Linked DNA regions of Arabidopsis thaliana. The protein of the gene in region 1 binds, or shares a complex with, the protein of each later gene. Each region holds a gene or a part of one and is shown on either strand. Other genes may lie near its edges. The genes, in order: BGLU22 and JAL33.

The links.
Region 2: BGLU22 (region 1) and JAL33 share a complex: the UniProt entries of both Arabidopsis thaliana proteins name them as parts of the PYK10 complex.

The regions. Positions count from the first base shown.
Region 1 is NC_003070.9:24,705,731-24,711,690, forward strand, and holds BGLU22 (Glycosyl hydrolase superfamily protein), read right to left. Parts: upstream 4,267-5,960; 5' UTR 4,008-4,266; coding exon 3,843-4,007; intron 3,685-3,842; coding exon 3,615-3,684; intron 3,538-3,614; coding exon 3,482-3,537; intron 3,153-3,481; coding exon 3,077-3,152; intron 2,954-3,076; coding exon 2,876-2,953; intron 2,787-2,875; coding exon 2,699-2,786; intron 2,611-2,698; coding exon 2,358-2,610; intron 2,265-2,357; coding exon 2,149-2,264; intron 2,072-2,148; coding exon 1,854-2,071; intron 1,750-1,853; coding exon 1,715-1,749; intron 1,608-1,714; coding exon 1,505-1,607; intron 1,422-1,504; coding exon 1,313-1,421; intron 1,237-1,312; coding exon 1,029-1,236; 3' UTR 782-1,028; downstream 1-781. UniProt on the Arabidopsis thaliana protein: Beta-D-glucosidase active on scopolin >> esculin >> 4-MU-glucoside. No activity with DIMBOA-glucoside, pNP-glucoside, oNP-glucoside and sinigrin as substrates.
Region 2 is NC_003074.8:5,586,614-5,590,905, reverse strand, and holds JAL33 (Mannose-binding lectin superfamily protein), read right to left. Parts: upstream 2,615-4,292; 5' UTR 2,420-2,614; exon of another isoform or gene 2,337-2,419; 5' UTR 2,314-2,336; coding exon 2,119-2,313; intron 1,935-2,118; coding exon 1,479-1,934; intron 1,366-1,478; coding exon 1,114-1,365; 3' UTR 821-1,113; downstream 1-820. Other genes in the region: MLP-300B (myrosinase-binding protein-like protein-300B), read right to left, coding at 3,365-3,616, 3,839-4,292. UniProt on the Arabidopsis thaliana protein: Sugar-binding protein showing significant affinity for (Glc alpha(1-4)Glc)(3) maltohexaose, (Glc alpha(1-6)Glc)(3) isomaltohexaose, Gal alpha(1-4)Gal beta(1-4)Glc, GalNAc alpha(1-3)(Fuc alpha(1-2)) and Gal beta(1-3)(Fuc alpha(1-4))GlcNAc beta(1-3)Gal beta(1-4)Glc.

The DNA.
Region 1 (5,960 bases):
TATTATTTGAAATTTATTTACTTTTAAATATATTTTAGATTAAGAATTAAAATTAACATGTTTACAAGTAATAATAAAAAATATAATTAGATGAAAGCATGGGTAGTTTAGGTATTTGTATTATTACAAATCATTTGGATGGAGATAGAGATAAGCAAACGAACATCTCATTCGGATGGTCCAGTCAAATGAACCGACTAAAAATGAAACGAACAAGAGTTAAATAAATCATCCAAATAGACATGTTGAATGGATCAGTTGGATGGATCTATCAAATGTAGAAACGAACAGGGCCTTAAAACCTTGACCAAAGAAATCTTTGTAATACCTGGCTGATTGTTTCTCATAACATTGAGATTATTTTTAAAATTGACGTAGTAGAATCCCAATCTGTTATATTAGAACCATCTTGCTGATATTATGTTGTGTTCATTTTTATGTACATTGTCTTATCTTATCCGATATCAAATTATGTAACTTGATTTTATCTAAATTGTTTGGAAAGATTAATCTCAAACTTGTAGCTACGGTGTGACATCTTATCCGATCTCAAATCATGGTGATTTTCTAAAAATGTTAAACTATTTCCATTGTTTTATTTCATCGCCAAGCGGTTTAAGTTGTTGAAGTTATTAGTCATTAAAATATTTGCACGATTTAGTTGTTAAGACGACGTCTAGTTATTGCATAATCTATTTCTTTAAATAGAGGTAAATTCGTATTTTCAATATTTTAAAAACTATGATATTTTTACTTCATATTTAAAAACATCAGTCCTTTTGTAAATTTAAGACTTTTTTTAATATATATAATACAATATTTCTTCATGTTTTGAAGGTAAAGATACCTTCATATAAGGATAATATATTTATACTAAAGCATTCTTGATCATGTCAAATAAGCTAGAAACTGAAGGAATACAAAACACTTTTATTATTATTAACCAAGACTTCATGAATCATGATCAATCACAAACTAAAACATAGGAAAGAAGCATTGAACAGAAAACCAAATCCTCAAAATATAACTTAAAGCTCATCCTTCTTGAGCGCGGATGGACGAACACCTTGACCGAGGAAATCTTTGTAGTACTTGGCTGATTCTTTCTCATAACGTGTGAGGTTATTTTTGAAATCGACGTAATAGAGTCCGAATCTGTTATTATAACCATCTTGCCATTCAAAGTTATCTAATAATGACCATACAAAGTATCCCGTAACTCTCACTTTGTCAATGCTGCACATACACAAATTTTCTTGATTAGATCATTCCATAGAATTGTTCTCTAAATAAATAAATAGTAAACGGTTACCAAATAGCTTCGTTCATAGCTAGAAGATGCCTCTGAAGATAGTATTTCCTGTTATAATCAGCAGTACCAACCTCAACCGAATCTTTGTCCTTAAGTTTATCTCCATATCCTAGAAAAACAACAACATTAAGATGAATATATATTTTAACTCCAAACTAAATCAACACACAGTAACCATAAATCTCGAGTTACCATTTTCCATGATCATAATTTCCGGGTTTGCGTATTTATCTTTGATGTACTTTAAAAGACTTCTAAAACCTTTAGCGTAGACGGGCAATGCAGCGGTAAGAGGCTGAAAATAAAACAATGGTGATAGATGTTATGTCGTTGAGAGAAATATTTTAATTGTTTAGTTGTTAAAACAATCTCAAACTAGGACTAGTTTAGTTTAACGCATACCTGGCTACCAATGGCGCTGTGATCTACATTCTTAGCTGAAATTTAAAAGTGAAAATGTATACATATCAATTAGTATTATAAAGAAAACATTTTCTCTTAGTTTCTTGGTTTGGTTTCATGTAAGGAAAAAAAAACTTACGTTCCCAAGCAACAAGAGAATCTTGCTTCCAACTTGGTGTAGACGGATCTGGCTTTTCATTATGGTTTGAAAATGTTGAAGTATAGTAGTTAAGCCCTACGAAATCGGTCGAATCTTTCAATTTTGCTTTTTGTGAAGAAGTGAATTTGGGCAATCTGTGACCAAGAAGGTCTTTCATGATTTGTGGATAATCTCCAAAAGTAGTTGGGTCTAGATGCCTACAAATAATAATCAAAACTCCATCAATTATATGAAATTGTATACAAGACCCCATTTTATCAAAGTATATACCTACCATCCCAACATAAAGTCAAGTACACGGCTAACAGTTGGAACGTCATTTGAATCTTTAAGATCATGTGGTTCGAACCAAGCCGGACTATGTGCGATTCCAATTTTCCCACCTTTAACCTACAAAATGTCCATTAACACAACACAAAACAAATTATATTCATATCCAAAACCTGATAGTTAATTTTGATATATATATCTAATGTAAATTACCTTTTGGCGGAAAACTTCAACAGCTTCTGCATGAGCGTTGAGGAGGTTGTGACTAACTAGATAAGCCTCATAACCTGATCGTCCATCTCGGTCTTCACAACCTTTAAGGTAGCGAGAACAACGTCCTGGCGCCTTCTTGCCTACGTCGTAACCTGCATGAGCGAAGACCCATGGCTCGTTGAAAGTGATCCAGTTTTTCACTTTTCCACCGTATTCAGTGAAAACATAATCTGCATATTCTCGGAAATCTTTCCTGTATTTTTGCAAAAAATGATATTAAACTAATAATTTCCATATAAAATTTAATTAGATGTATTTTGTTTCAATTTACAAAAACATACACAATGTTCTCGCTTAAGAAACCGCCATATTCGTCTTCTAAATCTTGTGGAGTGTCCCAATGGAAAACAGTCACAAACGGAATTATACCTAGTTACAATGTAAAAATAGATAGAAATGTTAAATAATGATACTATATTTCTTGTCTTTTTTAATTAATTAGTTTATATGTATATAACCATTTTTAAGGAGCTCATCGATCAGGTCGTGGTAGAATTTCACACCAGCTTGACTCACTCCCTTCTCCTTTCTCCCATCTAAAAACCCGTTAGTTTGTTTGATTAGTCAATAAATGTAAAATTCATTAGTTATTGATTTATATATCAATTCACCAAATTCGATTACTAAATCAAACTAGAGATCTGCAGACATATACTCACGAGGAAATATTCTTGACCATGCGATTGAGAGTCTGAATGCGTCTGTGTTTAGATTCTTCATTAGTTGAATATCTTCCTACAAACATTTTTAAGACGAGACAAATTTTCAATAATATCTCGTATAATATCAGCAAACTAAAAGTATAAAATATAAGTTATATTTGTCTTAAAATTATATTAATATATACCTTAAATTTATATTAATATATACCTCAACTTTATATTAATATATTATATATACAGTGTGGCTCCTCTCAAGGGTCTAACCATTTCAAAGTTTTGTAAGCATCCTCTGAGTTAATTTTCTCAAAATTCTTTTCAAACAAGAGGCACTTTATTGTAAAGATGTTTTTTTTCTTTTGAATATACTTTAAATTTAGATTCAAAATACATATATATATTTACCTTATAACGATGGAAGAAATCAACGGCCACATCGGCGTTGTGGCCACTACATCTCTCTGTAATTTAAAAATAAAAAGTGAATGAATTTAGATATCTAAAGATATTGTATAGAAAATATAGATTATACACTCACCTGGATTTCTCTTACAGAAGATATCCCATAGAGCAGGTCCACGACAAGTTTCATTAATTGCACCTTCAACCTAATGACATAACGAAAATAGCTGATGAGTTGAGGTAATAACATATGTTTGAATTCAGCATTTGGACTTAGGCTTGAATTTTGATGGAGACACAACACTAATACATATTTTTGAAGTATAGTGTAGTAAATAATTCATTTTGATGTCTCACAGTTTACCTGAAACGCAGCAGTAGCTGTGCCAAACACAAACCCATTAGGGAAACTTGCTCGGCTTAGTTTGGACGTCGTTGGGCACACAGGATCATCGACGGCTATTGTCGAAGAGACGACAATGGTTATGAGAAAAAGAAGCCCCAGGAGAGGGAACTTTTGCAATGCCATGGTTTCTAATTTTTGGTCTTTTGGAAGAGAACAAGTTTGTGATGATTTGTTTACATCTAAACAGAGTTCTTAATTATATAGTGATTTTGATTGTTTGGTAATGACAAATAAGTCACTAAACTATATTTGTTTAATAAATTTATTTTATATATAGGTGTGTTCTTACTTATTTTTCAAAGTTTGGAACATATTATATTACGCGTGGAACATATAATAAAAACGTGCCTTTAAATAAATAGTGTATCCTATCAAAAAAAAAAAAAAATCGTGTATGTCCTATAACTGAAGTCTTCATCTATTGTTGCACCTTCGTCTTAATAATATTTCTCGTGTTTAACGAGCAACAATATTAACATTTAATCTTCCATAATCAACGGATCTCTCATTTAATGTCTACTTTCAAATATGCAACCAGATCTGTTTTACAAGAAAAGAAAAAGATATGCCAACAAGGCCTCGTTAATCATTTTCTTTAATTTTCTATAGTAATGATCCAGATCGAGTTTTTGGATCTTACTTTAGGTATTATTGACGTTTAAGATATTAATATTTATTGAATAAACTTTCATTTACTTATCCCACTAAGATAGTATACAATTATTTAACTATTGTATACGATGGTGGTTAGGAGCAACGTGTCCCCATGAGAAACTTTTGCAATGACATTTTGGTTTTTAGTTTTCTTTTTTTTCTTTTGTCTTGATTAAGAAAACAATTTTAGGATGGTTCATTTATATGTTAGTGTCGTTTTTTATAGCGATACTGATCTCTCATTAATGTCTTGTTTTTAATATGCCACAACCAGGCCTCGTTGATAATGTTTATTTTATTTTACTATATAGATAGATCTAATCATCCAAATGGTGTTTTCGATCTTATCTTAATCATGATTATTATTGACGTTTTCATAACTTAATATAATCTTTCATTATTGGTTTCCGCTTGACTATTATTTAAATAGGATGATTCATTCGATGAGAGATCCCGGGTGACTAAGCTAAACTATACAATTATAAATAAGAAAATCTAGTGTATGACCTATATCTTCAAAATCTTGAACCTGTAGTAGTCGTCCTGATCATAGGATACATTGGTAACTTATGGACCGTAAAACCTAAGCAAAAGACCTTATAATGGTTATCAAACAAGTTATTAGATATCAAGACACAACCTCCAATTAGACTGGGAGTTTGGAATGAGTAATCTTCGGTTTCGGACAAACAATTGGTCACATTCTAGTCGCATGCTGACTGCTGTCAGGACAGTGCGGTAAAGCCTAATTAAGATCAACGAAATTTAGGCATCAAAATTAAAATATAAATGTGGGGCAACTTTTTTGCCCAAAAAAACACAAATTGGGGTAACTATTATTCACCAAACATTTTTCTTGGTCGATCAATTGGTGGTGTAATTGATTATTTTTCTTTCAAACAACTCAATGAGAAAGTCCATTTAGATTTGGAATGACCATTTCTCAAAATGCTACACTTCATGGCCTTTGTGATCGAGGACATTGAAAGCTACTATTTACATGATCAGAAAATCTGGTAAGTTTACAAGTCCATATATATGTCAAATATTGTACCTTGGAAGAAAGCAACTTAAAAATATGTGTATTCCTCTTAGCTGATGCCCTACCAAAGCACATTGCGACTCACTACTCTCGTCTAGTCGTCATAGAAGAAGAATACACTGCGACTAGTTTTTTTTGCTCTCCTAAGAATGAAGAAACGGTTGGTACAATCTTTTACTAACTATGGCCAGTTCAATTACTTACCCTTGGTTACTTCAATGATCTGGATCAGTTAAGAGTCTTTGTGTATCTTTATGGCGTAGTCAAGGAAATGGAAACTTCCAATTAAATATAAAACTATTAAATACTAAAAAATAAAATAAATTCGACATGTGTCACGATTAAGCAACAAATATATATTAAATGTGACTGAATGAAAG
Region 2 (4,292 bases), on another chromosome or scaffold:
GGACGGGTTTGGCAGTACGTTACTTAATAATAATTGTAAACTATAAAATAAAAATATATTATAAATAGATATAATTTGCAAAAAAAAATTATACTAACTTTAAAAAGATAAATTGTCCCCGCGGTATACCGCAGATTAAAATCTAATTCTTCTTAATTTCCGAAGATATATATGGAAACATATTTTTGACTTTTGGCAAAATAAAAAAAATGCGACTCGTGGATCTCGTGGCGTTTATTTCTATTGAGACAGATAACAATAATGATGACTTCTTTTAAGCTTAAAAAATACGTTATCACACTTTGAGTTTGAGCACGTCGAGCCTACTACACTCGTGAGACGTGTGTGGATCAGATCAGATCAGATCTCCTCCTTACGCGGCTGATCCAATATAAAAATATTGTAAATCAATTAGAAAGATGGAAAAATCCAAGATTAATATATTGCAAACTGAATTTCAAAAAGGGAAAATTCCAAGATTAGCATTACATGGGCTGGATCAGTTGATTGGTAAGGCCTAAATGCCAAATCACTAAAAGTTAGGACGCAATCTATCCCAGGTTTGCCAAAGCCGAGCCAAATTAATACATTCCAACAATCCTTTTTTCATATACTTTCATTTTTTTATCAGTATGATCATGACCACCCAATTAACCAATTTTTACTTACAAAACCTAATACTATTTTCAAAAAACTTTTATTTATACCTAAACAATAATGAACTTTAATCTATGATTATATGATCTATAGTCCCCATGTAATAATTGGACTTCATTTAAACATATTAAACATATATTCGCGGGTCTTTACCTAAAACAAAATTAATTCAGTAAAATGTTAATCTGAATACGCTAAACACACTTGCAGTAACTTAATTTAGTATGGATCGAACGTTGTTCACGATGGGACTTAATGTGCAATTTATAGGGATGGAATCAACCACCTTTATTCAAATCTATCATACGTAACATTATATAAAGACCAACATCACAAAAGAGAACGCTTAAAAACATTTAAACATAGATAGGCATAACCATCATAGGTATAACAAGTTATTTTCAAGAGATCACATTAACAAGTTCGATGGAAGCGAAGGAGGTAGCTGTAATGTGATCAGTTGGTGAGTGGCATGACATGGACTCCAAACTGATGAAGCAACTCACTGGCTTTTCCATGGAAGCCAACGATCTTGTGCCCTTCCTCTTTAAGTTCGAAGGCTGTGCCAGCTTCAAGTCCAAAGGGAGCAGACGTTTGTTTATTAGTCTTGAACCTAAGCATAGTTATGATTAGGCCATCACTCCCAAAGATTTTATCATAGGTGCCTTCAACTGCGGTGATGTATTCACTTGGATAGTCAATCTCAAACTGCAATTAAAGGATTTTAAATCATATAGATCAATCTGCTTACTGTCAATTAGTTTTAAGAAAATGAAAAGATACAACATATTTTGAATTTTGATAGCAAAAACAAAAAATACCTCCTCGAATCCGAGTAAAGTAGGCTTTCCATGTTCACCTCCTACGATATTCTCCGCGCCTTTGTTGTACTCAAACTTAACGGCTGATATCCCATCTTGGCCTTGTCCTACGTACACCTTCTTGACACCATCGTACGCACCGTCGTCCCATGCAGTTCCTTCATCACCACCAATTGCAGATAGTTTTTTGGCAGGAGTCACAGGAGTTGTGGTTGTAGCAAAATATGCTCCAAGAGCATATAAAGCTTCACCAGCGCGTCCATGGAAGCCAACAAGTTTACCACCGTTTTTGTCCTTGAGTACAAACTTCTTTTGCGTTTCCAATCCATAGGGTGGAGATGTTTTTCCCTTGAATGTATTGAAGGTAATAGATGTGATGATGTCAGAGTCTTGGCCAAACACGTTGTCGTAGGTCACTTGCACTGCTACTATGTAGTCGTCTGCATCAACCTCAAACTGCAATGATCGAAAAGATACCTCTCGTGAGTAGAGATGTTGTATAGATTAACTCAATCTAGACCGTATTAGGTGTGAATTGGTCTAGTCTTAATTGGTTCTCATTTTACAAAGCTTTAAAACTGATCCGAACAAGGCTAATAAGTTAAACTCAAAGAGAGTGGTAGCAAACACCACTACATACCGTTTCAAATCCAAGTAACGTTTTCTTTCCGTGTTCACCTCCTTCAACATCCTGAGAGTCCTTCGCATACACGACGTTGATAGATGACACACCATCTTGGCCTTGCCCTACATGCACCTTTCTAACGCCATCGTGGACACCATCATCCCATGAAGCTCCTCCGGCGCCACCCCCTGCTTCCACTTTTTGAGCCATCTTTTTGAATATTAATTAGTTACCTGTACGTATTAGTAGCGTACACGATTAGTTTTATTAACCAAACTCTACAAAACTATTATCAGACGAGAGACTGAGAATTTACCTGAGGAGAGAGGGAACGAGTTATTGATATGCATTACAATGACCTTCATGCGTATTTATTGATTATTTTTATTTCTGGATAAAATGTGTAATTATTGATATCATTGAATGTAGGCCACTAATTAATCTATAGAAATGTTAATATAATCTCGTGATCCACGAGTCATTAAAATATTAGAATGTTGTGAATATGAAGCAAATAAGTTGAATTGGAGTAGTTGATATTACTGATCTGTAGTTTTTTTTCCCTTTTTTTCCTTTGCTCACATAATACATGTTTTTCTCAACAATAGTTGTTGATCAAAAAAAAAAAAAAATCAACAATAGTTACAATTTTTGAAACCTGGTTAGATTTTACCCGTTATCCAATTGCTCATATGGTTTATATATATATATATATGTGTGTTTTAATATTATTTGATCATTACATAATTAACATATTATATTTCCATATATATTCTTAAGAAGAAAAATATGTGTTTGAAAAAAAAAAAAAATTAAACATACTGTATAATAAATTAAATCTAGATACTAAGTGGAGTGTACCTCCTTCGAAACGGACTGCGCGTAGTCTGGTGTTGGATTTTGATCAAAATGACCAATTCTCCAATTATGGCGAAGTTTTCTTGTTTCTCACTTTAAATAATGCTAAAGTCTTAAAGATAATTGTTTCCATCATACACTAGATGCCGAGATACTGAGTATGAATATAAGCTTTTCTCCTAATGTGCAACTGATATGTATAATAATCACCCACTTTTATTAAAGCCAATCACATATAATATTACAGGCATAACAACTTCACAAAACACCATACTTAAAGACACTTAAAACATAGATAAACAGAACAAGAAAAATTAGAAAACTTAAAACTTAATGAAGATATCACACGTGACAAACTTGGTGGTATAGAAGAGACATATATATATATATATATATGTGATGATCAGTTGGTGACAGGAAGGATATGGACTCCAAACTGATGAAGCACCGCACTTACTTTTCCATGAAACCCGACGATCTTGCAACCTTCTTCTTTGAGTTCGAAGGCTGTGCCAGCTTCAATTCCAAAGGGAGGAGACGTTTTCTTATTAGTTTTGAACCTAAGCATATTTATGACTTCAGTCTCAAAACCAAATATTTTGTCATATGTGCCTTCAACTGCAGTAATATATTCACTTGGATAGTCAAGTTGGAACTGCAATTGATGGAAACCAAATAAAACAATTGAGTTAGTTAAAATATTTTATATCAAAAATGGAGATATTCAACACTAGCTAATATAAAATATGCATGATTTTATCCACGAAAGTTTATGTGGATTCCCTTACCCAAGCATATTTTTGTGTAAGATATTCATATCATTTTGTAAAAACATTTCACATTCAACCACAAGAGAAGAAAGCAAGAAGTATTATACCTCTTCAAATCCGAGTAGAGTATCATTTCCATGTTCATCTCCTACAATATCCTCGGCGCCCTTATCGTACACAAACTTCACGGCCGATATACCATCTTGGGCTTGCCCTATATACACTTTCTTAACACCATCGAAAGCACCATCATCCCAGGCAGTTCCTTCGTCACCACCAACAGCCGGTAGTTTCTTGGCAGGAGTCAAAGGAGTTGTGGTTGTAGTAAAATACGCTCCAAGAGCATATAGAATTTCGCCAGCGCGTCCATGGAACCCAACAAGTTTGCCACCGTTCTTTTCCTTGAGTACAAACTTATTTTCGGTATCTAATCCGTAGGGTGGCGAGGTTTTTCCCTTGAATGTAGAGAAGGTTATGGATGTGATGATGTCGGAGTCATAGCCAAATATTTTGTCATAGGTCACCTGCACTGCTACGATGTAGTCGTCTGCATCAACCTCA